4 linked regions of the Alligator mississippiensis genome follow. The protein of the gene in region 2 interacts with the protein of the main gene of each other region in a pairwise test. Links are inferred from orthologs where the notes say so. Each region holds a gene or a part of one and is shown on either strand. Other genes may lie near its edges.

What was found.
Region 1: the proteins of GRN (region 2) and GLRX3 interact in binary tests that used the Homo sapiens proteins (3 or more experiments, as listed by UniProt). The link is inferred for Alligator mississippiensis from reciprocal best matches to the Homo sapiens genes GRN and GLRX3.
Region 3: the proteins of GRN (region 2) and SMAD9 interact in binary tests that used the Homo sapiens proteins (3 or more experiments, as listed by UniProt). The link is inferred for Alligator mississippiensis from reciprocal best matches to the Homo sapiens genes GRN and SMAD9.
Region 4: the proteins of GRN (region 2) and NLK interact in binary tests that used the Homo sapiens proteins (3 or more experiments, as listed by UniProt). The two-hybrid records come from large-scale screens. The link is inferred for Alligator mississippiensis from reciprocal best matches to the Homo sapiens genes GRN and NLK.

Annotation. Positions count from the first base shown.
Region 1 is NC_081829.1:77,670,952-77,678,615, forward strand, and holds the start of GLRX3 (glutaredoxin-3), read right to left. Parts: upstream 3,071-7,664; 5' UTR 3,027-3,070; coding exon 2,962-3,026; intron 1-2,961. UniProt on the Homo sapiens protein: Together with BOLA2, acts as a cytosolic iron-sulfur (Fe-S) cluster assembly factor that facilitates [2Fe-2S] cluster insertion into a subset of cytosolic proteins.
Region 2 is NC_081827.1:160,435,200-160,442,503, reverse strand, and holds the start of GRN (progranulin), read right to left. Parts: upstream 3,142-7,304; 5' UTR 2,948-3,141; intron 1-2,947. UniProt on the Homo sapiens protein: Secreted protein that acts as a key regulator of lysosomal function and as a growth factor involved in inflammation, wound healing and cell proliferation. Regulates protein trafficking to lysosomes, and also the activity of lysosomal enzymes.
Region 3 is NC_081824.1:420,513,091-420,521,176, forward strand, and holds the start of SMAD9 (mothers against decapentaplegic homolog 9), read left to right. Parts: upstream 1-4,699; 5' UTR 4,700-4,824; intron 4,825-5,141; exon of another isoform or gene 5,142-5,246; intron 5,247-8,086. UniProt on the Homo sapiens protein: Transcriptional modulator activated by BMP (bone morphogenetic proteins) type 1 receptor kinase. SMAD9 is a receptor-regulated SMAD (R-SMAD).
Region 4 is NC_081837.1:7,254,633-7,262,927, reverse strand, and holds the start of NLK (serine/threonine-protein kinase NLK), read right to left. Parts: upstream 3,395-8,295; 5' UTR 2,709-3,394; coding exon 2,251-2,708; intron 1-2,250. UniProt on the Homo sapiens protein: Serine/threonine-protein kinase that regulates a number of transcription factors with key roles in cell fate determination. Positive effector of the non-canonical Wnt signaling pathway, acting downstream of WNT5A, MAP3K7/TAK1 and HIPK2.

The sequences.
Region 1 (7,664 bases), on a different chromosome or scaffold from region 2:
CATGGGGAATTTTAGAAGATTTAATACCTATATTATCGATTTATCACTGCTAAGTTTCTGCAACTCTGAAACCAAAATATCATTTGGAAAAATTTTAAAAATATTAAGTTTATATTCCATTCCATGAGTTACTATTACTACTGTACGCACGTGCACACACACACAATAAGTTTACCACCCAATCCACTCCATTAGACTACTTAATTCCCAGACTTTTCTGAAACAAAGATATTAGGAAAAATCAAACGGTCCAAAACCCCATATAATCAACAGTATAATTAAGACTTAGCCCACTTTCTTTTTTTTCTGAGAGTTAAAGAGGTTCTGGATTTTTTTATGTTAACTCCTCCGTTAAAAAGATTTATTTAAGAGATAGGAATTATTTATGCAATGAAGAAGCTACATACTTTTTAATGTATGTTATCTAAAATTAATTTAGGCAACCTGGATAACAAAACAAGTGACACTAACGCCTTAAAGGTAAGAAAACCAGTAAAATCAATTCTGCTAATCTTACAAATATGATTCACAGAAGTTTAGGGCTGGAAGGGACCTGATGAGATCATTGGGTCCAGCCCCAATGCTCTGGACAGAAAAGACTTCTGTGGTCAAATAACCCCAGCAAGGTGTGCATCCAGTCTCCTTTTGAAGATCAGATAATGATAAAGGTATGCGCAGCCCCACAGAAAAAGTCAGCAGAAGGAAGAAGTTTCAGTAAGAAAAGTGTGCAAGTCCTGTGCTCTCAAAAATCTAAAAGATTTAAAGACACACACACAACCTGCACCTCCCACGAGAGAAATATTACCAATGGCCAATACTTTGATGTGTATGATTTGGGAATGAGGTGAACAATTTCAGTCATCCATTTAAACTTCTAATTTTAAAAACTATCCCATTGGCTATATGTTGCCAAAAAAGTTACCAAGTGAGTAGGTATTTAATTATTTGGTTCACCAAGAAAGGTTCATGAAACAGCCTCTACTCTTAAGGCACCTCAGAAAAATCACCTATAACATGCTAGTAGTTATTTATTATTGCCTTATTGGCCCCCTATAACTAGAGCTCTGATTCAATGAATCACAATTAACTTTAAACTACTTCTATTTTTCAGCAAAGCACATGAGCACAAACTTAACTTTAAGTACCTGATTAGTCTACTGGGATTTTTCACAAGCTGAAGTTAGAAATATACAAAAAGTTCCCTCCTCCGCCCATGGGCAAGGCCTAACTTTCCAATGCTTGCTTGGGTTTCACTGTACATATGATTATGTTGGACCGCATCAAAGGATCTCAGTGCAAAATCAAGGCTTAGCACTTCCAATCATTAAAAGATTAAATACGTTTTAAAGACCTCTTTGGTTATGATTAGTAAGAAGATTAGTTACCTTTGTTCAGCACCTGTTTCTTTAGTTCTTTTCACATTTAGTTTCTCAACTGACAATTGAATGCTACACTGCTTGGACCGCAAACTTGTACAGAGGTGCTGATTTAAACCTTCTCCCCTTCTCTGGGTCAGGGAAACATCTCTTATGATGAGGTGTATCGAACTTAATTTGTAAAATTTCTCCTACTGTCTATGTCCCAGAAACAAACTGAAGGAAGATGTGGCCCATTCTACAATACTTAATAAATAAGAGTTGTTTTAAAAAACACAACCCCCCATCCCTCCAACCCCCCCCCCAACAGTATTACACAGAGACAGACACACAATCTTGTTTGAATGGAAAGTATCCATTTTAAAAACATCCAGCAAATTTCTCAGAGTTTAGGAAGAGGAGGTGAAACTTGTTTGAGTCTCTGGTTCATGAATACAACCGTACTAGGCACACTGACTATATGAATGGATACAGCTTCATTTTGGCATTAACTTTAAGGGTTCACTAATATAAATACTGGGTAAAGGCACAATTCATTTACTATGGAATAAATCAGCTTCGCTCCTTAGGAAAAGTGGAGTGGGAACACCATGCACAGCCTTGCCGAATTTAAGTCACTGCACTCTGACGTAAAAGTCTCCTTCAGAAAACAAGGTGCAACTGGGTACCAGTCATATGCCCAATTACTGCAGGAAGTCAGCCCAGACGAGCTGATCATGTCTTTGCTCCTTATTACAGAGGGAGCTTCCTAGAGAATAAAATCCAGGGTACGTCACTCCATATCAATCATGCTGTGTCCACATGCACAAACCAGCAGCACTTTTACTTCCCCCTCCCAGAAATCCCCGACAACTCCTCAAAAACGAAAGCAACACCACGAACCTCTGTTGGACCCCAAGTTTACATACCTGGGCTTAAAAAACACCTGTCTGTAAAAAAGATGCAAATGCTTCCATTATTTTTTTTTAACCTGTTTTTTTAAAACAAGAGCATCCCCTCCCAAGCGCTGCAGCCGCACACATGGCAGCGAAACCTCAAATTAAAAAAAAAAGTCAGAAAAACAAAGAAACCAAGCAAAACAATCAGCGTAAAGTGGGTTTGGAAAGGATTTCCACTTCCCTCAGCCATCAAGTTTCTCCAGGGGTTGGTTTGACTGCACATGCAAGGAAAGGCAGGTGTGGCGGAGCAGGCTGGGTGTGAAGCGTGAGGAAGGGACCTGCCCCAGAGTGGAGCCGGGAACAAAACCGGCCCTTCCAGCTCCCACATGAAGCTACCTCGTCCCTTTCCCCGCGGCAGGGCCCTCGAGCCCCGCTGCTCATAAACTGCAGGCCTCAGGAGGCCAAACCCGGCACTGGGGGCGGGTGGCACCGACAGGCGTCGCCTTTGCGTCGCCACAGAGGCGCTGAGCGCCCCACACCCCGCACCACCACCCGCCACCCGCCGGGGGAGCAGAGCAGAGCACTGGGCCCCGGTCCCGCCCGCGCTCGGGCCTCCCCTCAGCCGGTGAGCGGGGGGTCGGGGTGGGGCTGAAGCGGGCCGGCCCCGCGGTGTCCCCTCCCGGGCCTCAGCCCCCGGCCTCACGTACCCGCCCTTCTGCTGCAGCAGCTCCTGGAAGCGCTCGGGGGAGCCCGCCTCGGCCACGGCCGCCATGGCTGGGGCTGGGACCGGAGCCGGGAGGGAGCGCGGGCGGCGCCTGCAGCACGTGTGTCTGCGCGGCCCAGCCAGGAGCGGCCCCGCCCCGCGCATGCGCACAGCACCTTCCTCTGCCGCGAGGGGGGGGTTTGCTGCTCATTGCCCGCCTTCCCGGGCGCGGGAGCCCCTCTCCCCCCTGGGCAGCGTTGACTTCTTCGGAGGGTCCCTGCTTGTGTTAAGGCCAAGCGAGCTGCACCCGTGTTGCAGCTGGAGTTGGTTAGTCAAGGATATGAAGCTGAGAGAGAGAGGAGGAGACCTGGTCCGGGCAGTGCATCTCCCTTTCCACAGAGGCTTTTTTTTTTTTTTAATGCTATGGATACTATCTGCTTTGGCAGCACAGTATACTAGTATTTCTAGACGGATTTCCTTCACTTTATGCTGTACATGCATTCCTGGAAAACGGCGCACAACTTGAATTTGCACCGAGGGAACAGATAAAAGACGTCGGATTCACCCAAAGAAGCTTGTCTGCCACAGAGGGAACCCGCCTTGCCGTGTAGCGAATAGGGACACGGGCGGCTGAGCTTCTAGTAAATATGCTGGGTGGCCACATATTGACAAGCAGCAACTCGCACCCTTATTTTCATCCCAGCTCAAGCGTTCCTAGGCCGAGCAGAAAATTATACAGGTTTCCCTCACTTCATACTGTAAACACGTTCCTGAAAAATGGCGCATAACTTGAATTTGCCTAGAAGGAACTCACTTTGCAACATAATAAATAGGGATAGGTTGCAAGACCTCGACTGTCCTGACCCCCAGACCCACATCTGCCACTTTTACAAGACAATTTCGGTACTCCCCAACAGCGGACAGTTCACACAAGCACAGGATGGTGGTGAACATTACCATCACGGGGATGGCGACTACAGAAATGCGTTGCAGACAACGGGCGAGGAGCACAGATGGATCCACACAGGAGACTGTATTTTGGTGCACAACACTCCCACAACGCACCACACAAAGCAGCTGACTGCGGGCCTCCATCACACCGCATACGAGTGAATTTACCTCGCGTATCACGAATTTTTGTTATAAACAGGGTCATTGCAAAAGAGCGAATTCTCTCATACAGAACCCGCATAAAGTGAGGGAAACCTGTTCCAGGAAACACCACTTTGTTCATACCAGTTGACATAAGAGACCACATGGGAAGATACACCAGCACACCGTTATTGCTTTGAATTCACACTTCGGCTTTACCTAGTACAGGCTTCCCTTGCTTTATGTGGGTTCTGTATGTGCGCATTCGCTCTTATGCGATGACCCTTTTTACACCAAAAATTTGTGATATGCGAGGTAAATTCACTCTTATGCAATCAGCTGCTTTGTGCGGTGCGTTGTGGGAGTGGCGTGCACCAAATATACAGTCTCCTGTGTGGATCTGTGCTCCTCACTCATTGTCTGCGACACGTGTTTCTGTAGTTGCCATCCCCATGATGGTAACGTTCACCACCACCACCAGGTGCTTGTGGGAACTGTCTGCTGTTGGGGAGTACCGAAATTGTCTTGTAAAAGTGGTAGACGTGGGTCTGGTGGGGGTCAGTACAGTTGAGGTCTTGGAAGATGTCCCTATTTGTTACACTGTGCAGCGGGTTCCCTCTGTGCGAATTCAAGTTGTGCACTGTTTTCCAGGAACGCATGTACAGCATAAAGCAAGGGAAACCTGTATAATTTTCCACTCAGCCTAGGAACACTTCAGCTGAGATGAAAATAAGGGCATGAGTTGCTGCTTGTCAATATTTGACCACCCAGCATCATTATTAGAAGCTCAGCTGCACACACCCTTACTGGACTCAATAAGGGTTTTCTCCAAACAGGAGGCTTGAAGCAAATATACAAAAATATTATTCCATCCTTTCAGTGGCAAGAAATGCTGGTGTTGATTTCCCATGTGGACCAACTAAGGGACCTGCATACTGCATTTCCAAATAATAGCAAGGCTACGCAAAATGATACCTCTTAGCCCTGAAAAATGTTATAGAACACCATCTATTGAGAATTTTTTACATAAAATACTAGATCTTATACTAGATCTAGATAAAGTTCTAGATCTTAAAACTCCACAGGCAAATGACTACTGTCTTTTTTCAAAGCACTTCTGTTTAGCAAGGGTGTGAATTGTCAACATGGCACCCAGCATTCAGATAGGTCTTTTACATTAAATTCACATCTATTTAACTACTTTGGCAGCATTTGCACCCATGGAAGAATGGGCTGTTATGGAGGTTGTTTTACTTCATTTCATTATTTTACTGTGGTCTGAAAAAGGTGTTTATTATACACAGTGTACAGTTTCTGTAGTTCATTTTTCAGTCATTTGTGGCACATTTCACTAACATCAAGAAATAGATTGCCAAGGTTCCAAAGCATAAATCTAAAACTAATTCTCCTGAATAAAATAATAAACCTATTTTTATTAAGGATCCAGATGCTTTTACCTACTGGTTAGTAATGCTTGTTCTCACTATCTTCTAACTATCATCCATCCAAGTATCACTTGAAAGTTGGCAAGTGCAGATAATCTGATGACTAAAATTCTGCAGCTTTATTTGAGAATGAAGTAAAATAAAATGCTTCTAAATAAATTTCTAAACAAAGATACTCAACAAAGCAATCTGTGCTATATATGAAAGCAACATTGGCAACTACTAATTAATGTTAAAAAGATGGTTGTTTACAACATTGTTAAACTAAGCCAAATAAAGCCACTTTAAGCCCCCCCTCCCCACATATCTTTAATAATTTGGATGAAGTTTTTCTGAATTTCCCCATGTAGATGAACTGCAAAGTTACATCTTCACTAGAGAAAATGTTGTTAGTTACCATATGTTAGCTAATGTGAGTTACACAACCTTTTCCTAGCGGAAAAAGGCCTCAAGAGCAGCATCCAGATGAGCACAGACATGCAGTGTGTGGCACCGCAGACCCATCTCTGGTGCCACACACCACACATGCAGGCAATCCCTGCGGTGCTGCTTTGGGTCAAAAAACCCACACCTTAAAAAACTGGGGTGGTGCATGTGGCAGAAGTGCATGCCACCCAAAATTGGAACCTAGCTTGCCAGAGCCATGCTCCAGCTGCCAGCCAGTCTCCCAGGAGCACTGCAGCTGCGGCTCCCCAAAAGCCCCCAGAACCCCAGGTAACCTGCCACACGTCAGAGAGCACATGGCATGGGCACAAGGTGTTCTGCTGCTTGTCCCCAGAGAAACAAATGTCTGGGCTCATGTGGACGCGGCTGAGTCCAATTTAGAGTAATTTACATACTGAGGAGATGGAGACAGATGTCAATTATGTCATTTTAGACTGTTTTAGATTTATAGGAGTCACAAAGACTCGCATCAAAATTTACCCTGGGATTAGGACTCTGCAACTGAAAAGGGGAATGCAAGATAATACTATGTATATTTTACTCTTGTATAATCATCCACTTCAAAGTAGTGCCAGGAATGCACCCTCTCAAATCAGTAGGAGTAATCATAGTATAATGTAAAAGCAGGTAATTTAAATTATGCCCATAAGGGTAGACAGCTCTTAAAAACTGAACAAAGTTTGATAGGCAAGATTTTTCTCCTAGAATTCATCATTCATATCAGGTTGTTGTCCAAAACCTACATATTACCATTTCCCTTCATATTTTCTAAGCTAGTCCATTGAAATACATCAGATAGAATGTCAACCACAAATTAGATTTTCACTCCTAATGCTCACTGGCCATAAATATGCAGTTGTTACAATTCATGATCCCAGAGCTAGGATTACCCCTTGTGATGAGGAATCATGTTCTGAGGAAATGAAACAAGGTCTTAAGAGTGAATATTTTAGTTTTGCTTTCTCCAATTACACTTATGTGCTTGCAGTGCCTTTAGAGAAAATAAAAATCCTAATCCTGATAAAAGTTAAGCAAACTGAAGTATACACATAATGTACACACCATGTACTAAAGAAAGTTTTCTGAGGTCATCTTTTTAAATGTCACTTACAATCTTCATAAAACATTAATATATTGCCTGAAATATGAACAGAAATGTACTCCTGTTTTATGCATTTGTAGGGAGAAGAAAATCCAGCCCACTGAAAACAGATTCTGCCATAAGACTATCTTCATACTTCTTTAATTTTTCCTTACTCAACAAGGAAACTTACTCTGTCAGTCACTTTTGGCTGACTTTATAAAGCAGCACGTGAGAGTTTTACTTGCATATTCTGCTAAACAGTGTTCAGTACAGACCTTGGAAAATACACATTTACAAATACAAAGTGCAAGTATTTTGTATTTTACAGAAAGACCTTCTACTATTGCAATGTCTAATATAATACATACATATTTTATTAATATGACTCACTAGAAGAAAAAAACAGATACAGTATATGATGTACTAAATGTGTACACTGTCCTATACATCACCCAAGACATAAAATAATTTAGAAAAAAGGTTGCCTGTATGGTTTTAAATTACACCAAAAATCAAATCTTAAGTCATAAGACAGGTATTGTAGAAACAGATCATTTCTGATTGTTCACCACAACAGTTAAATCTCAATTTACTATATTTAAGGTAAAATTATTACTATTGTACAAATTACATTATAATAGA
Region 2 (7,304 bases):
ACCTGCAAACCCCAGCACTTCTCACTTGATTCATATGACCAGTTTCTAATAACCATTTCTGAAAGCCAAGTGGGAAATGAAACTCAAGCTAACTGGGGAAATAAAACTGAACAGACTAAGGTCAGAGACCAACGGCTTATCTACCCAAGGAAACAGCCCAGAGGGCAATAATGCACTAACTCCATCTGTGGATGTTCTTATGCAACAATAAGGAACTAGTGCTCTTTACACCCCCTATTTACTCTGCAACAGCTATTGCAGGCTAGTTTTCCCCGAGGACAAGCCCAATATAAAGAAGCATGCCCAAGCCAGTCAGGGCCCATTAAGGGTGGAAAAGCCTCCTTCTCAGAGATGCCGGCTACAGTACATATGTAACCCCTGCTGTGGCTGACAGTGTTTCATCTTCTAGTATAGGGCTGAGGAGGTGGTTAGACCATTGCTACAATCCTACATAGCTCACAATCATAAGGTTGTATTTCAGCTGCATTGGGGCCAGCAACCATGTTGCACCAGTATCTCTATAATACTTGTTTCCACAGGGTAGACAAGAATCAAGAAGCAAAAGGGGGGTGGGAAACAAAGCCGGCCCTGTTTCACTGCACCTCCAAGCTCTTAATTTCCTTCTCATCCAACAGGTTGTTATGCCAGACAGCAAGGGGAGGCTCTCAGACAGCAGTGCCCAAGAGATACATACAGTCAAGGCTCTGGGGAGACCTGCTCCAGGCAAAGAATTCCTTAAATTTGTAGAGTCTGGTCAGAACAAACATATGCTGGTTGGCTGATCCCATAAACCCAGTGCATGCACCCAGTTACCTGAAGCAGGACTGTTTACTATTCCAGCCATAAATACAGAGGCGGCTGCTGTTTTCATGCCCAGGTCAAGGCAAAATTACAGAAGCTCCAGACTCAGATACTCGCTACTGAGGGGAATTCGCTCCCAGAAATTAGTAACCTGCACAACCTGCCAGGCTTGTTTCAGCACTAGGCTAAAACCATCCTTCCATGCCTCTCTAAGACTGAGGTACCGACCCCAGCACCAGTGAGGAGAGAGGGCTTATTTGCTTCTGCCTTCACTACCAATAAGAGGTGCGTTCTCAGTGAGATGATCAGTGTCAGATCTTAGGGCAGGCAAAACTCTTTGAGTAGCTTTGAGTGAGGCAAACCAAGGAAACGCCACATCCAGGAACACTTGGGACAGGAAATATAGCATGGGCCTCTCCTAGCTACACTGCACTAAAAGAAAAACTGCCCAAGCCCAGTTTCCACAAGAACCAAACGAGCCTACGTATACTGACATCTTGCTGAAAAGTCACCTGCTTTGGCATTGAAGACAGCCTCAAACACTGAAGGGACGCGGTTCCCCATGGAAGGGTCTAGCACAAGGATATTTCCCCCTGAACAGCATTACTTGGTCACAGCCACCCCATACTACACCAGGATTCTGCTTCTGGGAAGGGTCCGATTTAGTGTGCTTGGCTGCAACAACCAACATCTGCCTAAGGAAAGAAGGAGCAATGCCAGGCTAACTCATTCACCCAAGCAGCACCACTAAAGTTTAATCATATGAACCCAGCTCTTTGTTCACTCACGCACATCATCATGGGATACTTCACAGACATGGGAATGAATCACTTCCTTGGTAATGGGCAGGGAAGAGCCAGGTCCTCAACCCATGCGGCGAGCACACGCACTTTATGCAGGCAAAGAAAGAAAGAACAGAGAGGGGCAGCCATGTTCTCCCTGTCGTGCACAGTCCCATGTGTTCATGACAAGACCAGTTTCTACCTCACGTATTAACCGAAGCAGAAGCAGAGTGAAGTACGGGCCTAGCTGGGCATATGGCAACAGACCCATCACTATCAGCACAGAACAATGTCAGACACCTGAAATCAACACTTTGCAGTACCCATCTCTCATCTCTGGTGCCAGCTGCACTCAACTCCACCCACTCACAGCAACAAGGGGAACTCAGGCTGCTGCAGGGTCCCCACCCTGCTCTGCCCAGCACAGGGCAGGCTGAGCAGCCAACCAGGCTGCTGGGGGAAAGCAGCCTGAGAAGCAAGGAGGTGAGATGCAGAGCACAGGGGAGGCCCCTTGAGAAGGGAGAACTCCTGGTGAGGTGGGAGGCCTGGGAAGGAAAGGAGAAAGAAGGGTCCTTCCAGGGGGCCAACCCCACAAACCTGGGAGAGGAGGGCAGGGTGTGAGCCCCCTTGCCCTGCCCTGCCCTGCCCACCCCCTATCACAGCGACTCCACCCAGAGCTGTGCCCCTCTCCCAGCTGGCAGGGGAGAGCTGCACTCCTCAGGACAGGCTCTCTGCCCTCAGCCTGTGCAACCTGAGAAGGTGGGCAAGGGCAGGGTGGGGGGGCAGAAGAGGCGCCCCCAGCCCTGACACCCGACCGATTGATTTTTTTTTCGTTTTTAAAGGAAATGTGTTCGTGTCCCAACTCAAAATCGGCCAAATCCATTCCAAATCTGCCAGTCATTCAAGAACCGCATGTGGCCCTATTCCCCGCAAGTCTCCTCTGCCCCCGCCTGGGGCTTCGGATGTTTCCAAATCCTTTGGCGGGCATCCTACGTGCAAGCCCGAGCCCAAAAGCCTGGGGTTCGGATGCCCCCGAGCCTGGCTTGCCCTCGGCCTGAGGGCCAGGGAGGAGTCTCCCCTTTCCGTAAGGCCGAGGTCTCTCCGCTGGAAGTGAAAGTGGGAGGCTAAGTAAGCATGACCTCGGCCAGGGTGGGTGCTACCCCCTGCCACGTTCGTGGCCGCCCCCAGCCAGGAGGAAACCCAGGTGGCGGCCAGGGTATGTCCCCTGCCAGGTGGACCCCCGCGCAGCGAGGAAGTGCCGACACCCCGCACCAGCCTGGCACCAACCACCTCGTGCGGCTTGGCCTGGCCTGGCCCGGCCCGGCCCGGCACCACCCACCCACCCGCCTCGCCCCGCGTGGTACCTGCGGCGGCGGCGGCCGAACCAAACACCAGCTCCCGACCCAGCACCACAAGAGCCAAAGACACTGCCAGATGCCAGCCCCGGCCGCTCCCCCGGATTGGCCCACGAGCCCGGCCTGCCTCGCCCCCGTTGGTCGCTGCTCCAAAGTGGGGCGGAGAATTCGGCGGCGAAAACCTGCCCTGTCCTTCCCGGGAACCCCTGGTCAGGTGATGGCGGAGTCACATGACACGCGGTCCCTTCCCCCCCTCCACGGCCCGGCAGGAGCTTGCGTTGGGTCTCTTGGTGCTGAGGGAGCGAGCAGGACGGAGAGCCGGGCTGGGAGGGACCCCCGAGGGGATCCAGTCCAGCCCCTGCTCTGGCAGGGTCATCCTTAGCCGAGCCCCCAGCACAGATCCGGCTCGCAGGGGCCCGCAGACGCGACAAGTGTGGCCCAAGCCACCCGCCCCTGCGCTCAGCTGCTAATGTGACATTGGCCCTGAGTGCCCACCTGAGTCCCTGCATGAAGAGGCATCTGGTTGCCTTGGGGGTTGATGCCCTACTTGAGGGTGGATGGCCCATGTGCTTATCAATAAGGAGCTGCTAAGAAATGATAGACCTCATGCACCACAAACGGCTTGGGAGTGGGTGTATTCTTGCTTCTGTGGCTGCCCTACTTCTCTTGCTGACTGCGTTAGACTGGCACTGTTTCCTACAAAGTACGATGGATGGACGGATGGAAGGAAGGAAGGGATGCTACAGCATCTGCAGGCTGAGCTGTTGACTGCATCAAGGCACCTACACAGCATATGGGTGACATTAGGCCCCATGAAACAGGCTCTCCAGTGTTGCTGGCTCCTGTGAATTCACTGCATGTAACATGTTTTCGGCCCCTTGTGGCAAGAGCCAAAAACTCCCAGTTTCATCTGATCTGAGGGTAACAAAATGTGTCGTCCTCACTCCCCTCGGTCTGTGCCTAACCACACTAAGCCTTGACTCCAGAGGTCACAAGCTGTACTGCAGATGTTGCCCTGCTCCTATTCCTATGGCCTACCCAGCTTTTAGTATTCACATGGTCTCCTCCTGCCTTCTTGGGGGGTTGCTATCCACCCATTTTACAGCTAAAGGTAAGAGCTCAAACAGGGTCTCTTGCAGAGACAGAGCCCAGGAGACTTATTTAATAGAGCCAAGCCAAATGACCTGGTGCAGAGTTACTTGCCAATGGTCCGTGCAGTGCTCCCATCACTTTCTGGTACAGTGCCCTGTCTTAACAGTTGGTACCTCCCATGCCTCATTTTAAAGTCCCATATTTTCTGAAGTGCTGAACATGTTGGGTGTTGAGCTCTTGGGCTGGATCCAGAGGTGCAGGCACATGTGGTTTGTGGTGCTGCAAACCTCTTTGCAGTGCCACAAATTACATGACTTGCACATTAATCAGTGCTCTGCGCTGCTAATTTGCAGTGCAGGGCAAAATTTGTTCCCAGGATTTCCCAGCAGCAAATCCCCACCCTAAAAAAAAGTAGCGCAAACCGTGCCAAAGTGGCAAGCACCAGGACAAACGCAGAGACTGGGGGTGAAGGGGGGAGGGGGGGGTGCAGGGGTGTCCAGTGAAGGCAGCTGTGTGCATTGTGGAGACCCCATGCTGAGGCATCAGCAAGCTGCTCCCTAGTTGGCTGGGGTATAGGGTGCCTCAAGACAGAGGATCAAGGAGCCCCAGGCTGGCTCTCCTCCTGCAGCATGTGAAGCAACAAGACACATGGGCCAGGGTGTGCACTGGGGCACAAAGTAGAGACACACATTTGTGCCACTACTATTTGTACTGCTGTAAAGGCATACCCCTGCTCGTGTGGGCCTGGCCTTGGACAGCAGGTGCAGGAAGTTTCCCCTCCTCCCCTTGGTTCTAGTGTTTTCACCTATGCAATTTCCTTCAAAACAAACTTGAACTGAAAACACTTTTTGTTTTCAAAGCCACTCAACCCCTGCCCCAGCACCAAACACTGGAAGCACCGGTCATGCTGATGCTGCACAAACTGCAAGGGCTGTGGGAAAGCAGAAGTGGAGGAAACTGCAGGAGGGGCTGGGCTGGGGTTGCTGTCCTGTAACCCTTTACTAAGGGTTGCACTGGGAATGCAGAGAGATTTGGCACCCATGCTCTGGTGCCACACAAACCTTCCTGGGGCCTGGCCCTGGTGAGGGGAGGGCAGCTTTCTGGCTGGCTGTGACAGGAATCATCCTCCTGTGTATCTAGCAGAGTTTTAAGGAAGGCAATTGCTTACTCTGTGATTTTCCTGCAAGGGCTACTCCATGTAGATTGCATGATACTAGGATTTGGTGGAGTCCAAGCAGTTGGTGTGATGTGGGGTGGGAGGGGTCACTTGTAACTACCTGGGGGTGGGTCTGGGGGTGATCTGTTAATAACAGAATATGGAATAGGGTGTATTTCTCAGCCCCCCCCCCTTGTTCTTTCTTGCCCCCATCCAGCCCTAGAGCCTGAACCCAGCCATGGCCTCACAGTGCCCCTCCCAACTACCGAGTTTCTCCACTCCAGATTGCACACAGCACTTGCCCCATTGCCCTGGCTGGGGATGCAATCAGATCTTCCGCTCTGCTGTACTGCCTTCCTGTTCCCTGGGCAGAGGAGTTTCTGGGGTACTTTTGGCTGTCCTGTCACTCACCCTTAACAGGGCTCCCCACTCCTGCCCTGTGCACAGTGCAGTGAGCCCCTCCTGCACGGTTTCTGGGGCACAGAAGTGCCTAGCATCCTTCCCCCACAACTGAGTTCAGGAAAACTCTGTCCCTTCTTCCCGTGAGGGCTATGAAAACAGCAGAGGCCATCCCTCTTGCAACACAGCCACCTGCCCCAGCTGCTCCATCTGTACTCTCAGCACTCCCCACTGGCTCACCAGCATTGCTGCCCCCACAACTCTCAGCACTGCTGGCAGGTCTTACCCAGCTCCTGAGGCTTCTTGGTGGAAGGAAAGGGGGAAACTGCAACAGAGCCCTACCAGGGATCTCTCATAGGACTGCATGTGTTTGTAGTCTTCCCTCTTCATCTGCCTCCATTTCCCCTTGGCTGAGCTGTGTGTGGGACCCTGGATTATATGATTTCCCAGTGAGAAAACAAGCTTCAAACACCTGAAAAGCTCAGAGAGAAAGGGGGAAATCCTCCACCCACTCCATTACTTTCCAGATGCCTAAAGCCTTGCCTAGGTTAATAGCCAGAAATACAGTCACTGCTCCTTGGTACAGGGCAGCCACAGGAGAAACGTTTGCTGGGTTTAAAACCACAAGCCCTGTGTGGGTGCCAGTGTATTTTGGTGGGCTCCCAGTGGCCACAGCAACGAGCAGACACATGAGGCACTGCCCTGAAGTTACTGCTCAAAACTCCTCCTTTCCCTATCATGGAACAGGTTTGCTTGCTAACCACAATCCACCCCAGAAGTAGCTGCTTTCTAGTGGTAGCATGAGGACTTTAAAAAGAAAGGACAAACTTCCACACTGTGGAAGGGGACATCTTTCATCTCTTTTTACATGTACCTCCTTCATGTCTTTGAAGATCCCCCTATTCTTTAAAAAAAAGTGAATGCACCCTTGGCTGTTGGTGAGCTGATCAGGGTGGGAATGTCATCTCTAGACATGGTGCTGGGGAGCCTAATCATGGGACACAACATCCATTCTAAAAAGATGTTGAGACATGAGAGAAGGTGCAGAAAAGAATCACACACCAGATGAATTGTTGTACAGTGAGAGACCATCAGAGCCTGGTCTGTTTAGCTTATCAAAATGATTGAGGGGAGACTTCATTATAGCATGGAGGTGTCCTTGCTGGGAGAAACTACTTAACAGCCTCTTAAATCTAGCAGAGAAAGGCAGAACAGAACATCTGGCTGAAAGCAGAATTCTTGCAAATTCAAACAGAAAATAAAAGTTGAGATCAGTAGCAGTAATCAAGGGTGATAAACTGGTGGAACAAACTGCTACAGGAAGCAATGTTTTCTATATTTTTCAGATCACGGCTGGGACCTTCATGGAAGAGATGCCTTTATCATGGTGAAATGTCCTGGCATTGGGTCACCTGATGACCTGATGTTCTCCTTTGGCCTTAAACTCCAGGGCTATGAATAAGCAATACCATGGTATGTACAGGCTGGCACCTGGTAATCCCCAGTGTGTCAGGGACATAGCATGGGTTGGAACAGGGGAAACCCTGCCTGAGGTCTGTTCATCCTGCAGTAGTTGGCAGATAATAGCGGTGTGCAAATGTAAAGCCCGTTTGTTGGCTGTTCTCTCAGACGGAATTGGTCCAATTGTTTCACAGCTCAGGTAGAAAAATCAGATGGGCCATCCATCACTGGTCCCAGTAAACAGGGGTTGTAGAACGA
Region 3 (8,086 bases), on a different chromosome or scaffold from region 2:
TTAAAATGTTAACATCATTACAGATACAAAGTCTCATGTACCATCATCAAGATACAGTAGTAGTAGGTGCTTCATAAATGTTTATGACAGATTAATAAATAAGTGTCTCACTTGTCACTCATTTCTCGAAAGTCTCATTCAGATGAAGGAACACAGCAGTAATGGAAAAGCAGCTGACACATTTGTGATGTTTAGGACCTCGGTGGGAAGCCTAAACTGTTACAGGCTGCATCTACATATGCACTTTACTGCAGAGTAGACTAATTAGCTGTGGAGTAAAGTGTCACCATCTGTATACATCATGGTATTAGGCCTCAATAAACTAATTAACACCACTACAAGATAGTACTATCTCATGCCAGGGTAATTTACTGTGATTAAACACATGTGTAGATGCTGACCACAGGTATGAATTGTGCCCAGTCACCCCAGCCAGCCCAGGGCCAGACTCCTGCCCACTACCTAGCCACATGGCTCTGAACTTTTAGCACCCTTGGGCCCTGGCCAGCCCCTCTGACACTACCACCTGGGGCTGACCTCACGTGCCCCCTGCCAGCCTGGGCCTGCTCCACCCCAGGTCAGATTGCTGCTGTCCTGGGCACACATGTAGATGCTATGGCTCAAATTGTTCCAGAATGTATTGCTTTGCATTAATTGCATGTGTAAATGCACCCACAGTGGAAGATCCCTTATTATTACTTGTTATTCACAGAGTCAGATTCCTTGTTTTACAGAACATAATATTTATTATTAAACTATAAGTTAATTGTGGGCTTATACTCTCTATGCAAATTACAGTAGTTTTTCTGCCATGTTTTATAATTGATAAAGTTTGTCATGAGATGTCAGGGCTCCATATTTAGTGACATCTTTGATCACACTTCTGATGGATTTTTAGACATAACATGACATTACATGAGCTGATTAGTTCAGTTGTAGCCCTAGAGTCAGTATCTTAAAGCTCATGAAGTTAGAGTGCCTCTTATTTCTAGTGACTTCTACTACTCATGTCATTAGACCAAGAGATCCCTGATACCTGTCATTTCTCTTTACTTCTGTATATACAACAACTGATATAAATGCCTCGTTACAGATTGTTATGCAATGCATAAATGGTTATTTTGGTATTGCTAATAATTGCTTGATACTAAGTATTAAAGATAGGAAATAGATCCACTATTGTTACAAGTTATGATTGCAATTATGGCTTTATGGTCAGTTTCTCAAACAGTCCAAAACTCCCCTACAAAAGCTACTGATGTTATTTACAAACCACCTTTTTATCAAGAAAAGGAAAAGGTTGGATGAAAGGTTGGATGTGAACTTTGTGCCTATGGGGTACAGGAAGGATTTTTCATGCAGTAGGGCAGTATTTGTGCCTGAATAAAACATAGGGCTCCAGGAGTCCTGGGTGGAGGAGGGGCAGCCCTGCAGTCAATACCAGCTGGCTCTTAACCCCTGTCCCTTTGACTGGCTGCTTCCTAGACAAGGCTTTCAAAGGAGCTCTTGAAAACCCCTCCCCCGCATTCAGCACACTTCTTTTAACCCGGCCATAATTTGTCCCATTGCATATTAATGCAGCATATGGATTCGCATAACATTGTGTCATGCAGGTTAAGGATGAAGTCATAAAAGCCCTTTTATTAACAAGAACAATTATAACATTCTGTTGCAACATGCTGACAAATGGAGTGGTGTTTATTAATTGTGGATGCATTATTCACATACTCATTATATATGTACCCTCAATGTAAAGGGCTGCTTGGCAGCGAGATTTCTTTGGGAGCAGAAAAGCCTCCCAAAGGAACTCCAATGCCTGTGACACCCAAAAGACCAGGTAAGGCATTAGGAAATATTCTCAAGGAACAATACTGCCTTCAGCAAGAGAACAGAACTGGGTGACCAGCTAACTCTCTCCTACATCCTATATCCCTGGGGATATGTAGCAAAATTCTAGGAGGGTACATGAGAGGAAGCGGTGGGAAAGTAGAAAGGAAAGAGGAAAGCTTCTACATCACCTCTGACATTGTCAGAGAGGTTACGCAGTGCAGTGGTAGTGACAAAATGTGTTATGTGTAACATGTAGCCATGGGGGTGTGTATCCACATGGCACACCTTGAAAGGGGTAGGTGATCCAGATGGGTCTGAGAACTGTGGATCCAAATCAACAGACTACAAAAGTGGGCTTTAGACAGACTACAAAAGTGGGCAGATGAGAATAGGATGGGGTTCAACATAGACAAATGCAGGGTGCTGCACCTTGGGAGAAGGAATCCACAGCATACATACAGGCTGGGGAGTTCCCTTCTTGAAAGCACAGAGGAGAAAAGGGATCTTGGAGTCATTATTGACTGCAAGATGAACATGAGCCGCCAATGCCAGACCGCAGCCAGCAAGGCCAGCCAGACCTTGCATCCAAAGGTGCATCTCAAGCCGGTCCAGAGAGGTGATACCCGCCCCTCTATGCGATTTTGGTCAGGCCGAATTTGGAGTACTGCGTCCAGTACTGGGCACTGCACTTCAAAAGGGATGTGGCCAGCCTGGAGAGGGTTCAGAGGAGGGCCACCCACTTGGTGAGAGGGCAGCAGGACAGGCCCTAAGAGGAGAGACTGAGGGACCTAAACCTGTTCAGCCTCAGCAAGAGGAGGCTGAGGGGAGACCTAGTGGCTGCCTACAAGCTTATCAGGGGAGATCAACAGCAAATAGGTAGAGCCCTTTTCTCCCCAGCACCACCTGGGGTGACGAGGAACAATGGTAATAAGCTGATGGAGAATAAGTTTAGCTTAGATATCAGAAGGCAATATTTTACAGTGAGGGTGGCCAAAATCTGGAACCAACTTCCCAGGGAAGTGGTCCTCGCCCCTACCTTGGGCAAATTCAAAAGGAGGTTGGATGATCACCCGTCTGGGGTCTTGTGAACCCAGCATTCCTTGCTGCCTGTGGCAGGGGTCAGGCTAGATGATCTGTTCAGGTCCCTCCTGACCCTAGCTACTATGACACTTATTAAACTATGAAACTCCCCAACAGGGATGGACTAGAACCCAGGCCCTGAGCCTGGCCAGCTGTAGATGTGGGGAAGATCTGGATCAGTGGTTCTCAACCTTTTCACACTGGAGGCACACTTAAGAAAATGCTGGCTCCTGGCTTTGGTTCATTTTTTGACTCTGGAAAAGTATCAGTGCTGTTGTTCTGTTGCAAACAACTCAGAAAGCCCCCAGCAGGGCAGGATGCTTTTAACCCTACAGGTTCCTATTCAAAATCTCCCCTTTATCTGGTGACTCCTGTTTGCCCCAGTGCTAAGGCTGTGTAGCACCCTGGGTATCATTTTGGAACCAAGATTTTTGTTTTTTTGTATATCTTCTTGTCCAAGACCAACACAGCTACCAAGTACACCCCTGAAACATGGAAGATGCCGAATTTTAGCTGGTTTTGGATTTTAAATTTCATTGCAGAACAAGAAAGATTTTTTTACCCCCCCTGCCTGCCATCTGACACTTCCAGGGAAGGAATTCAACCTGATCTACACATCAAAGAGCCACTCAGCACAGCCCACAAAGGCACTCTCTTGGACCCAGAGGGACAGCCTTCCATTTTCAGCTCCCTCTGTGCAAGAATGAAGTTTATTTCTTACTTATGGGGACTTTTTACCACCTTGTACCATCTATACTTTTCCCAGAGCCTGCTGAAGCGACTTTGATCCCGAAAGCTTGCAGAAAAGGACGATTTTCTTGCTATTTCCCAGCTGGTTTAATAAAAGGTATCATTTTGGAGCCAAGAGTTCTCGTTTTTTCAAGTAGCACCCTGGGGGCACACTTGATAGGCTCTCAAGGCACCTCAGGGTCCCATGCTCCCCACTCCTCACACTGAGAATCGCTGGTCTGCACCTGTCCAGTCAGGCCCTTCCAGGCAGCCAGGCAAAGGGCTGGATGGGCAGGGAAGAGGAGCCCCAGCTCTAACCCCCCCAGTCTCATCCTTGGCTTCCACAAGTCAGAGTTTCTGGTGGGAATCCGTGAATGGGGGCCCCAGGTGGGGCAGGCAAGAGGGGTGGCCAGGTGCCTGGCCTGCCCCCTTGCTTCCCTCTGTGCCTGGGTGGGGAGCACTTGTGTGCGTGCGTGCGTGTGCGTGGAGGGGGAGTATGTATCTGGGGAGGGTCCAAGTAGGAGGTGTGTGTGTGTGTTGGGGGAGCGTGTATCTGGGGAGGAGTGTGTGTAGATGTGTGGGAGGTGTGGAGGGTGTGGGGGTGTGTGGAGAGGGAGCGTGTTTGGGGGAGTGGGGGGCAGGTGTGGGGGTTGCATGTGGAGAGGGAGCATGTGTGCAGAGGGGAATGTGTGTGTGTGTGTGAGAGAGAGATGAGGGACAGTGTGTGTGGAGGTCTGTGTGTAGGGGGCTGTGGGGAGTGTGTGTGGGGGTTGTATGTGGAGGGGGAGTGTGTGTGTGTGTGTGTGTGTGTGTGAAGGGGAGCGTGTGAGTGGGGGGGTGCGTGTGGGGGGTGGGGAGCTATGTGGGGGTTGCATGTGGAGGGATAGTGTGCATGTGGGGGGTGGAGGGCTGTGTGTGTGTGTGTGTGTGTGTGTGAGCGAGGGGAGGGGTGCGGGGGGAGGCAGGGGCGGGCCGGAGCCAGCCGCGCTGCCTGGCCGCGCTCCAGCCCGGCGCACTAATACAGGCTCGCAGGCTCCAGCCTGACTGACGCCGGCCGGGGCTGCTGCTGCCGCAGCCGCTCTGGCCCCTGCCGCCGCCGGGTTCCTGCAGCCGCTCGCAGGCGCTGTGGGGGGCTCGGGGCCGCGGCGCGGCGCGGGGCGCGGCGGGGCAGGCGGGACCAGGCAGGTAAGAGCCGCGGACCCGCTCCCGGCGTGGCGGGACCGCCTCCACCCTCCAGCCGGCGGGCAGGTGGCGGGGCAGCATCCCCGTGCGGGGGGCAGTGGAGGCATTCCCGCGCCGCGGCCGCACGGAGGGGGGGGGGGGGTGGTGGTCCGGGCCAGGCCAGGCTGTGCTCGGGGGCGCGGCCCGCCCCAAGCCCCGTCCCTCCCGTCCCCTCCCTCCCTCGCTCCCTCCTTCCCGGGCGCGGGTCCCGGCCGCTCCCGCACGCGGCTGCAGGGGGAGGAGGGCGGCGGCGGCGCACGGAGGAGACACAGCGACGCCAGGGTGCGGGGGAAGGAGGCGCGGGGGGACGCCGGGGCTGCGCGGACACGGCTGCTCCGGGACCCGCGCCCGCCCCTGCGGCCGCCACGGGGCAGATCGGGCGGCAGGTCAGTGACACCGGCGGGGGAGCAGGGTGCCCGGAGCGCTAGTCCCGGAGAGGGAGAAAGCTCTGGGAGATCCTCCTCCTCCCCCGTTCTTGGTGCTGCTGCTTGGTGATTGCTACTTTAGTTGTTAAACTAGTAATTGTTACGGTGATGATCGCTGTAGTTGTCATTGTTCTTGTTCGATTGATAGTTCTTTGGTTCAGGGCCGGGCCAACCATGAGGCGACCTAGGTGGTCGCCAAAATTGAGGGGGGGGGGCGCCAAAATTATATGCAGAACAAACTAACAGGAACACCATTCTAAGTGACAGCCCTGGCCAGCTCCGGCTCCACCTTGCTCTAAGACCTTTGGTTGGGGAAGGGGGGAAAGACCTCGGAACCGATCTCGGAAAAGATCACTAGTATCGCGACTCCTACCTTTCCAACTTTTGAGCGGACTTATGACAAGAGCATACCGCTGGCAACGTTATCCTAATTTTCCTCTGTACTGGAAGTGGTGGAGGTGCCAAGGTACCCAGTCTGCCTAGGGCGCCAATTACCTTTGGATGGCTCTGGTTTTGTTATTCCTATTATTTTTGTTATCCTCATCATCAGAATTATTGTATCACCATTGTCATCATCATTATAATTATCGTTGTCCTCATTTCATTATCACCAACCACCATCATCATTATCATGATTATTTCATTATCATCATCATGATCATCACCATCATTATGATTTCATTATCATCACGGATGATGTCATCATCATTATCATAATAATTTCATCATCATTATTATCACTATCATTACCTTTATGGTCACCATTGTGATTATTACCATTATTTTATCATCATCATCATTATTATCGTCATCCTCATTATTGTTGTTATTATTGTTACTATCATTTAGGAGCATCTGAAAAGGGACTTTACAAATGTAGCACCGTACAAATGAATTAATGGGTGCAGTGTTAGTTTATCTTTTTCCCTCTAAATGTCTCCCATTTGCTACTAATCAATCATGCTTGCTTTAAAGAATTCTCATTCATGTGAGCTGAAAAAAAAGGAGAAAACTTCCATAATTAAATGTTTATAGTAAATAGAGGTGATGGAAGAAAAGAAATCATTCTCCACCAAAGATAGCTTCTTAATGAATGAGTTTTGCCCTAATCCCGTTGCAATAGGAAATGATGTGCGAGTTCTTGGAATGTATTCAAGTCTGTGGCTGTCCAGGAAGGATGCTGCAGATAAGACCAAATTCAGTGCTTTATAACTGAAATACATGTAAAAACATGCTTATAAAGAAAGCATCTTTTGCGTTAGGAATACATTATCTTCCCATCTCCTATAGGATAAACTAAATGAATTACTGTAAAATTCTCCTCTGAGCAATAAATCCCCAGAGCAATGGCTGGAACAACTGTCATCACTCAAAGAAACTTCATTCTTTTTAATCTACCCAGACAACTCCCTTCTTTCAGATTTGATAGGTACCAGCATTTGGCTGGCTCATGTCTGTTTCGTATTCATTGTTAAGGAGGGAAATATTTTTTTTAATCCCAGTTCTTTTAACATTTCATTTATTACTCCACTTAAAATAAGCAGCTAGCTCTTGATGTTTTACTAGTGAAATTTATCAAGAGGTGTGTATAACCATTACTCAGTTCTAAAATGGTTTCAGATTCCCGACTGTCTGGTTGTACTGGGAGCTGGAGATGTAAACATTTTCTTCTTTGCTTTGTTATTGGCATTGGTAAAATCTCCAGACAAGCTGTAGTTTTGCATGAATGACTATAGTATGAATCTGTGAAGCAAGGGTATTTTATTAATAATGATTATGGTAATGGGGGTGTTAAAGTTTTAAGATAGCCCTAGAGCTTGGCATAGACACTTTTGTTTGTACATAAACTAAAATAAGTAGGTACATAAACGCTTAACAGACACTCATCTTCATAGGACCCCTGCAAAGTATTAAGTATTGTTTGATACACAAACTTGTCCAAACCCAAATGACAAGTACATGTATGCCCAAAATACACATTTACATTTAAAGGAATCAAATATCCCCAAAGCCTTTATATTCCTTCTGTTGAGCTCAGTAGTAGTTTTATTTTAATAGAAGCACACTTGGGCCTGAAACCCTGAAATCCCAGGAGATGAAGTCAGATAGTTAATTCCCCCTTTTCTCCTTTTCTTTGCAAGTTTTTTTGCATCTCATGTTTGAATTCTTAAGTGTCTGCTGTTATCAGTTAGGGAGATAGCATGTCCCACAGTTTTCTCTGTGGAATACTTAAGTGGTGTAATTTTGATGGTTAATCTATCCGATCTTGATAAAGTTTTATTTTTCCATTGTTTAATTGAAAGAATGTCAGCTGTTAATTACAAGTGACCACTAACCAGAGGACCAAGGCAGTAATTCCAGAATCAGTTGTGCTGTGGCTTCTAATCTAAATTAAGTTAACAGAATAAAGGAAGCCAAAAAGAGAAGAAAAAGTGCTTTGGGTAGTTTACTAATTGCAAATAATACAAAGTTATATTTACTAATGAGAATCTGTATAGTATAATTTGATACTTGGAAATAAACAGAGAAGGGGAAGAAAACAGTATAAATATTTGATCTAAAAAGAATACAGCAAATAATTTTTTTTTGCAAATATCTAGTTGGTCCAATAAAAGTTATCACCTTTGCCATGAGTTTTGATTCCATGAGTGTTTGTTATTCTTAACTGTGTGATTTCCTGCTGCTGGTTGGTATTTGTGTATGTTAACAGCAAAAAATAATAATTACATTAAGGGCATTAAGAAAGCACTTTTTAAAGACTGTCTCTGAGAGCACTTGCCATAAGAAAAATTTAGGACTGG
Region 4 (8,295 bases), on a different chromosome or scaffold from region 2:
AGCTAAAACCTCAAGTAATTTTGGATTTAGAGACATCGGGTTCCATTTGCACCAAACAGATTTTCTCCTGTGTAAAACAAACTTAGGCCCAAGAATAATCACTCTTAAATCCAGGATGCATTTTACTTGGAAGAGTTAACATCATCCAATGCCACAAGCCTAACAGAAGCCACTGAACAAACTAAGGACTTGATATTAGGTTTTGCAAATATGTATGTATTTTTCCAGTCTACAGGAATATAGAAATTGCTATACCAGGGTCAGCCTTGATCTCTGTGCTCCCACGGTGATCTTAACCACTGCTGAATTGAAAACTTCAGCTTTTCTTTAAAATGAATGCCATAGCCCCAAACCTACAATTGTAGGTAGGAGGGACCCCTCCATCTGCCTGGATCCAACTGCAGAATCAGGGTCCCATTTAATATCAATGAAAGATTTGGCCCCCATTCTACCTGCAGTCTGTCATCTGTATAGTTATATATTATCCCTATTTCTATAAGAGGATCTTTTCCCCTTTCTTTTGATCATTTGTTAATGCTGATATACCTTACTATTTAGACTCTCTATCTTCATGTGTCAAAATAAAATATTTACATAATTAAAAATAATGCAAGCAGATCTTCTTGTGTAATTTTGTTTTCAAACAGAGAAGGGAAAACAGAGACCAAGGGAAATGTGTATTTAACAAGATGTTTGCACCAGATGATAAAGATAATGGGATCTGATTTTACCGACCAGCCTAAATTAACAGAGACTGCAATAACTCTAGGCAAGAAAAACACACACAATAGCCAAAGATAAAAATAAAAGGAAAGATAGAAATATTTTTTTTATATATCTGTATGAAGGACTGCTCTCTAATTTTGATTATCTCATGCTTAAAATTAGGTTATGCTGTATAGTTGCAAGAGCACTTTAACCCAGGTACAGCAATGCAGACCCTTCACAAAACGTAAATCATTTTTCTGGCATTGAGCAATTAGCGTTTAATTAATATACGGTACGAGACTGTAAAAATAAGATGCAATTCAACTGAAACATTAACCTACTCCCTTAACCCTTACACAGTTTGAGCCACACATTTTGTATTTTATATTAAAACCATATTTTGCAACAAACACATTTGTCTGATACTTTAGCAGTTATCAGTCTTAAGGAAGCGCAATCTTGCTCTTCGAAGGCTTCTACTGTAAAACCCTTCAGAGCTGCAGCATGTACTGATCTACCATGAGAATCACAGCTTTAAAAAGCAGACTACGTCTATTTCAGCAAAATGAAATGATGGGATGGAGCAAAGACAACATTTCTTAAATACCACTAAAACCTATACTGAATAAATATAGTTAAAAGTTTTGTGGGGTAAAACTAGTTTCATGCTTCTGACTTCGTATTTGTGAACAGGAAGTGTGCTGCAATATGCCTGGTCTCAAAAAACAAAACCCATACATACTTGGCGTTTCTAATGCACCATAAGCCTTATGGTAAATTTCCTGTTCTCAAAAACAAAGTATTGTAAAAAAAAGGGGTGGGGGGAGGGGACCGTTTCCTTCATGATCCTGGAAAGTACTAACTAAAAAAGCTCTTTTAGGTTGGTCACAAATTATTTTAAGAAGAGGATAAGTGTGACAGATAAGAGCCCCAGACCTAAGTGGCTAGGGGTTGGGAAAGAAGAAAGAGCATGCAGAAATACAGGAAGACAGTGAAACCCATTTACATTCATGAGAAATGTGCAAAGTTAAGGTGTCACCGTCCTGGGTGATATGTAATATGCTGCTGCAGGGCAAATGCAGTCTCCAAGACCAAGATGTTGACAGCTGACTAACCTAAGACACCAATTTTCATGTGTTTTCTATGTACTTCCTATGTCTAAATGTGCGCTCTACTAAGCATTATCCTAAGTGCGTGCACAGCTCATCTATAAGTAAACCAAATGCCATTCCCCTCTTGTCGTACAATATTTATACAAGGCGTATAAACAAGTTGCATCTGCTTCAAAATAATGGTATCATCCAAAACTCAACTCGGTTTACGGTGCGGCCTATCCGTGAGAGGTTGCCGCTTCACAATAAACCCTATTCTGTCCACTCACGCAAGTGAAGCCAACTTTCCACAATAGATATGAATCATCAAAAGCAATCTGCAAGTAAGCAGCTTTCTGGTCTTCTGGCCCGAATGACAAAAATAAGCATGAATGACGACTCGTTAAACAATGACAGGAAAAAACGAGTTCAGCTGATTCTCCATACTCACCAGACGACACCAAAGGCTCCGTATCCGATAGGTCGGTCCGGTTCGATATCCAGTTGCTGCTGTGGATGTTGTGAGTGCTGATGATGGTGCGCTTTAACTGCAGCAGCTGCTGCAGCTTGTACCTGAGCTGGGGCCGCTGCAGCCGGTCCAGGGGCCTGACCCGGTGCCGGTGATGGGAAATATGGCTGCTGTTGCCCTGGATTTAACATCGCCGCAGCCGCCGCCGCAGCCGCCGCCGCGGCAGCCGCCGAAGAGGCGTGCTGCTGTACGGGATGTACCGCGGCAGCAGAGCCAGGATGCAAGTGATGCTGAGGGTGGTGGTGGTGATGGAGGTGAGGAGGAGGGAGGTGAGGAAGGTGGTGGTGATGGTGGTGGTGGTGACCCGCTGCTGCCGCAGACGTACCGCCATTGTAAGCCGCCATCATTTTTGCGTTGGCCGTCGTGCCACAGAGCGACATTCAAAAAACCAAAAACCGAAACAAAAACAACCACCCCAAAAAAAAAACAAAAAAAAAACAACAACCCAAAAAAAACCCGCCCTCGGGTTGGATTCGCGACTGGGTCAAGCGGTCATCGGGCCAGGCCGGGGGGGCGGGGGGGGGGGGAAAAAGGACCGAAACCCCCACAAAGTTTTGCTACTCTTTAGCACGAGTCAGGCGTCATCCTAGGCGGCCCGCCTCGAAGCGCATCGAGCTCAACGGGCTTCACGTCTTCATGGAGCCGAACCGGCGGACGGGACGGGGACGGGCGGGGTGGGGCGGGATCCCCCCCTTTCCCCCCGAGGTTCCTGCCGTGGCGGGCGACTAGCACTCCATCCTGTGGCGGTGGCGGCGTGTCGAGAGGCGGGGGAGGGTCAGACCCCGCGCCCCCCGCGAGGAGGGTGCGCGGCAGCCCCCCGGGCACCGCTCCACAGCCCCGGTGCGGCTACCCCTGCCATGCCCACATGCCCCCGGCCCGCGGGCCTCCTACATCCCTCCCCGGGCGGCCACGAGCTGCTCCTGGGAACTTTTCCGGGCCCCCCAGAGCCGGGCGGGGGGGACCGAGGGGCCGGGCCCGGTGCTGACAGGGCGCCGCCACTCACCTGCCGCCGGAGCCGCGCGGAGCGGAGCGCAGCACCGCCAGCAGCCAGCGGCCGTCGCGCGCAGCCGGCCGCCCCCCTCCCCCAGCCCGCAGCCAATGGGACCCGGCCCGCCCGGCTCCGCGAGAGCCGCCCCCATCCAATCACAGAGCCGGCCCCAGCGCCGCCGGCCGGTGCCGCGGAGGCTCGTCCCGCCTCCTGTGACCCCGCCGTCCAATCAGCGCGGCCCTCCCCGCGCCCAGCGCTCGGCGAGACCCCGCGAGATTCCCTCACCTCACACAACCCTCACCTCGGGCGGGCCCGCCTCCCGGCCTCCGCCCGGCCAATCGTAGCGCGCTTTCCTCCCACCCAATGGAGGAGCCGCTCCCAATGGGGAGCCAATGACGGCAGGGTGAAGAAAAAAAAAAAAAAAAAAAAAAGAGTGTGGCTGAAGGCGAGGTTCCCGTGAGCGGCCCAATGAGCGCCGGGGCCGGCATGAGGGGCAAGGGCAGGAGCCAATCCGGGATGAGCAGGGGGTGGGGCGGGGGGAGGCGGGCCCGGGTTTAGACAGGATGGGAAGGGCAGAGTCCTTGGGGGAGGGGAAGGGATCTGGCATTTGACAGCTGACTGGACAGCTGGTCTAATGAAAAGATTGCCTCAAAGACTCTCTCCTCATGTCTGGACAAGCACCATTTTGGCCTGATTGGAGCCAAGCGGTGGAGCTGTATTTTCGGGCGAAGCCTTTTTGGCGAGCTGCGATTTTCCTCGGCAGTGTCCGCCAGCGCGTCGTTTTTGCAAATTGTTCCACCGACTCCTGGCCGGGAGCGACCCTCCAAAATGAGAATTATTTCTAAATGGGGGACGGGAGCCGAACACCAGCCTTGCCCCCGTCCTCAGACCAGTCGCCGAGCTGCCAAGGAGGATCTGAATAGACGTACGCCGTCGCCCCCACGAATCGTGCGTTAGTGAACAACCGCCACTTGCCTGGAGCAAAACGATACCGTTACCTAGCAGTAGAAGCACCGACAGGGCAAAATACAGGTGTGGGTTTGGTGAACGCAGATCAGCCCCGAGACGAAGAATGGGCAGCGTGACATTGAATCCCCTTCGGTCCCTCTCTAATACAAAACTGTGCGAGAGAAGTTGAAAGGGAGGGAAACGGCCAGGTTGACCCTCATTTTCTTTGGTGTAATCGACGAAGAGCACGCAAACACAAGTGATGTTTCAGTACCGGTTCACTTTCATTCACAGGCAATACTCCGAATAGTCCTCAACAATATTCAGGTTTAGATATTTTCAGTTTCATTATTCCTGAACAATACTCTGGCACGCACTTTTCAAATGCCTAAGATAACATCTCTGCGTGGGATCTCTATTTTAACCCTGGAAACAAACTGGTGTCATCTGATGGCTGGCAGCGGTCTCACTGCAGTCAGGGCGTGTGTAAAAACTGGTCACACACATCCCAGAGTCAGTGGACTCGCAGCAAGGGGGTATTTGCGTCAGTGTATTTGCAGAGTAGGCCGTAAACCCTCCCAAAGCTAGATGTAGGGAGTCCTGGCTTGGCAGGAGCACATGGAGGAGAAGGAGGGTGAGACTAAGAACTAATTTTTCTTGCTTTTGCTGCTGAACTGTTTAAGGAGGTAAATCCTAAATTTTCTTGCTGTCAGTGAAGGGCAGCAAAAACATTCCAGCATACCCTGAAATTTTAGTGGTGTTCTTATTGTTACAACAGGCTGTTAACAGTCCTGGCTTATGACGTTAGTAGTATGTCTGAGAGCTCTGTGTAGAGAGGTTAACCCATCCCCACCGGCAAAGCTTGCCTCTTAGGAGTGATCCTTTCAGGTAGAAGCTCATGAAGAGATCTGATCTGTTCTGCTCCTCCTTATCAGTAACACTCAAAGCAGCTGTTAGCACTTTTTCAGAAGCATACAGGTTGCCAAATAAACCTGAGGGAAACACCATCTGACATTTGTATTGATTCTTTATTTATCTCACTCTTTTTAAGGCACTGGTAGCAAGCTGAGGGCTGTCTTCCTCATCCTCACCAAGATCTGGGATTGCACCTCTTTGCAGGTTCCCGTTGTAAGTTTCTTGTGGTGCACGCACTGCATCTCAGAAGTGTGCTCTCTGTGTTTTGCTCTGTATATGGGAAAAGCAAAAATGTTTTGAGGTTAAACAGTTTAGTAAGTGGGAACTTTGATTTTTTTTTACTTGTTCTCTGGCATTAAGGTCTTCAGTGATATGTATTTTTCATGTTAAGCATCAAATATATGCCTGGCTCTCTCATAATGCTTTTCATCAGTTGACCTCAAAGTGGGCTACAAAAGAGTTCAGCATCATTATTTCCATTTCCCAGCTAACCATTGGCAACATCCCTCCCTTAAATAATGTGAGGCCATATTTTTAAAGATACTTAGGTATCTAATTGTCCATTTGATTTCAGTGGAACTTTGGCACCTACGTATCTTAAGGCACGCAAGGTTCTTTGGTAGATATGATATCTTTTATTAGACCAACTGAGTAGTTTCAACTAGCCAGGCCTCCCTACATCTAGCTTTGAGTGTGATATCTTTTATTAGACCAACTGAGTAGTCCCAGCTACTCAGTTGGTCTAATAAAAGATCTCACATCTCCCCAAAGAACCTTGCCTGCCGATGCCCTTAGACCAACACAGCTACAACTAACACCCCAGCAACATGTAAATATCTTAAAACATTTGTCCCTCATAGAGTTAGTTGAGCCCTGGTCCACTTAGGTGCATAGCTGCAAAGGTGTGTGTGTGTTCCCATTTAAATTGATGGGAATACTTCCATTCTTATTTACTCATGCACACAACTAGTTGTACAATCTTAGACTTATCTAATGATAAGACATACCAGCTGAATAAAACAAAAAGAGGAGGGGAAGTGTGAAATACTAAGTATAGGATATAAGCATCTTTTCTCAGACTTGCCACATGCAAGATGTATTTCTACGTAGTAGTATTTTTTACTTCTGTTGCTTTTTTTTTAAATATTTCAGCTTGGGTTCTAGCTTTTTGTACTTCTACTTCTGCCCCATTCTTATTTATGTTTGGCCCAGTTCTACAAAGACTTTAGATCCCATTTAAAATTGTGACGTATCTTTCAGCTGCGTATTCAAAATTGGTGACTTCTTTTGAAGTTATCCCTATTGCATCAAAAAAAGAAAAGACTGCGTTAATAGCTAGTGTGTGTTACCAGCTGAGTTCGATGTTAGAATTCTGAATCGTGCTATTTGAGTTTACTATAAAAATCAACAGATATGAAAGCATTAGGAATTATTTTTAATGTTTGTTTTCTTCATAACCAGTGGTACAGTATGTTGCTTTTATGTGCAAGAGCATGAGAGAATTATGGGAATGCCAGCATGGGGCATGGGAAGGACTTATTGGACTCAGCTTCATAGTATGTCCATGTTGAGACACTGATGGAAATATTTTTGCAACAAGACTTCTATATTGTTGGGCAAAAAGACGAATGTTTACATATGCTAAAACAGTCTGACCAACTATGTGAGATGAATGCTTTTGCATTAATGAGGAAATTTAGAAAGGCAATACGTGTGTCATCTAACAGAAAAAAGAATGTTAATAAATGTACTAGAACTGTGAAGTGTGATAGAGAACAGTTTCTATGATATCCAGAAACTAGATATTTCTAGATGTGCTTTTTCTCAATCAGACGTGTGCTCCGTTAGGTGAGATATGAGCGCTGGAGATGGAGCTGAATTCCAGTTCCAAGTCTAGTTCTGATGTTGGCCAAAATGCTACCAACCACACTTTCACAGCATCCATTTCTGTAGATTGGAAATAAAGATATTTACTGGTACCTACCTTTGTGTGCTTTTGACTTTGATGGCTAAAAAGCACTACTGAAGTGTTGTCTGTTACTCTGTGTGGTAGTGTCTGCTATGTCCTTACTCCAGCTGAAAGCCAGTTCTTGTTCATCATCATCCATCAGGCGGATGGCTGATAGAAGATGGTTTTGAAGGGGCATTGGTCTCGGGTATCCATGTACAGTCCTGGCAAATGTCAGCTTGGAAGAAATCTCCCTAACAAGTATATCTTGATGCCACATGAGGTTTACCAATCCCCGCTGTGGATCTCCAAACTCTGCCCTGCTGTACAGTAGAACCTTGCAAGATCTGCAAGGAATGGGCCAAGATTTCCTTGTCGTCATTCTCCCCGCCTCCCCTCTTCCGTGCCCCCCACTTCAGTGCCCCCCCACCCATGCATGTACATGGTTGCACTCTTGATTTGATGGTCATTTTTGTAGAGTACCACAGCTGTTGTGAAAGCTGCAAGAAAAACATCAAAGGATGTTGTAGCATAAAGAATGATCCAAAAAGAGAGTAGTGCTGCCATATGTGTAAAAAGCCAGAGCCTTTGAAGAGGAATTGATTAATTCTGTGTCAGTGATTGACAGCTTTTGCAGGACTCCATTTAAACAGTCTGTTTTGGGGTTTTTTGTTTTGTTTTAATAGGCAGAAATATTTTGATGGTCAGTGAAATATATAAAACTTTTTTTCTGCTGAATCATTTTAAGGGAATAGAAAACAGGTAAAATAAATAAGATGCTGATAGCTTCTAATAGTTTCAGTTACCTCATTCTGGACCCAAAAGGGTACAACTGTTTGCATGAGTACGCCATAGTTAATGTGAGGTATGCAGAATTATATCTTCATAACTGTTGCATGTGCTTCACTGCATTTCTCTTGCCTTTAATGTTCCAACCATTCAAGATTAGATGATGCCACATTTACTCCCATAGAGAAACACATAATTGTATGAAAACCCCTACTCCTGTCAACAAAGCTGCCCACAGAATCAGATTGCCAAAATTTGACCCTTGGTAATTGGGAAGCTGCAGGTAACGACACAGCACTAGATACTGCCCAAGTTGATTGCAACTAATTTGTCATTCCCAGTGATGCATGGAAATGTGTGATTGTAGGCTGTTGTTGAT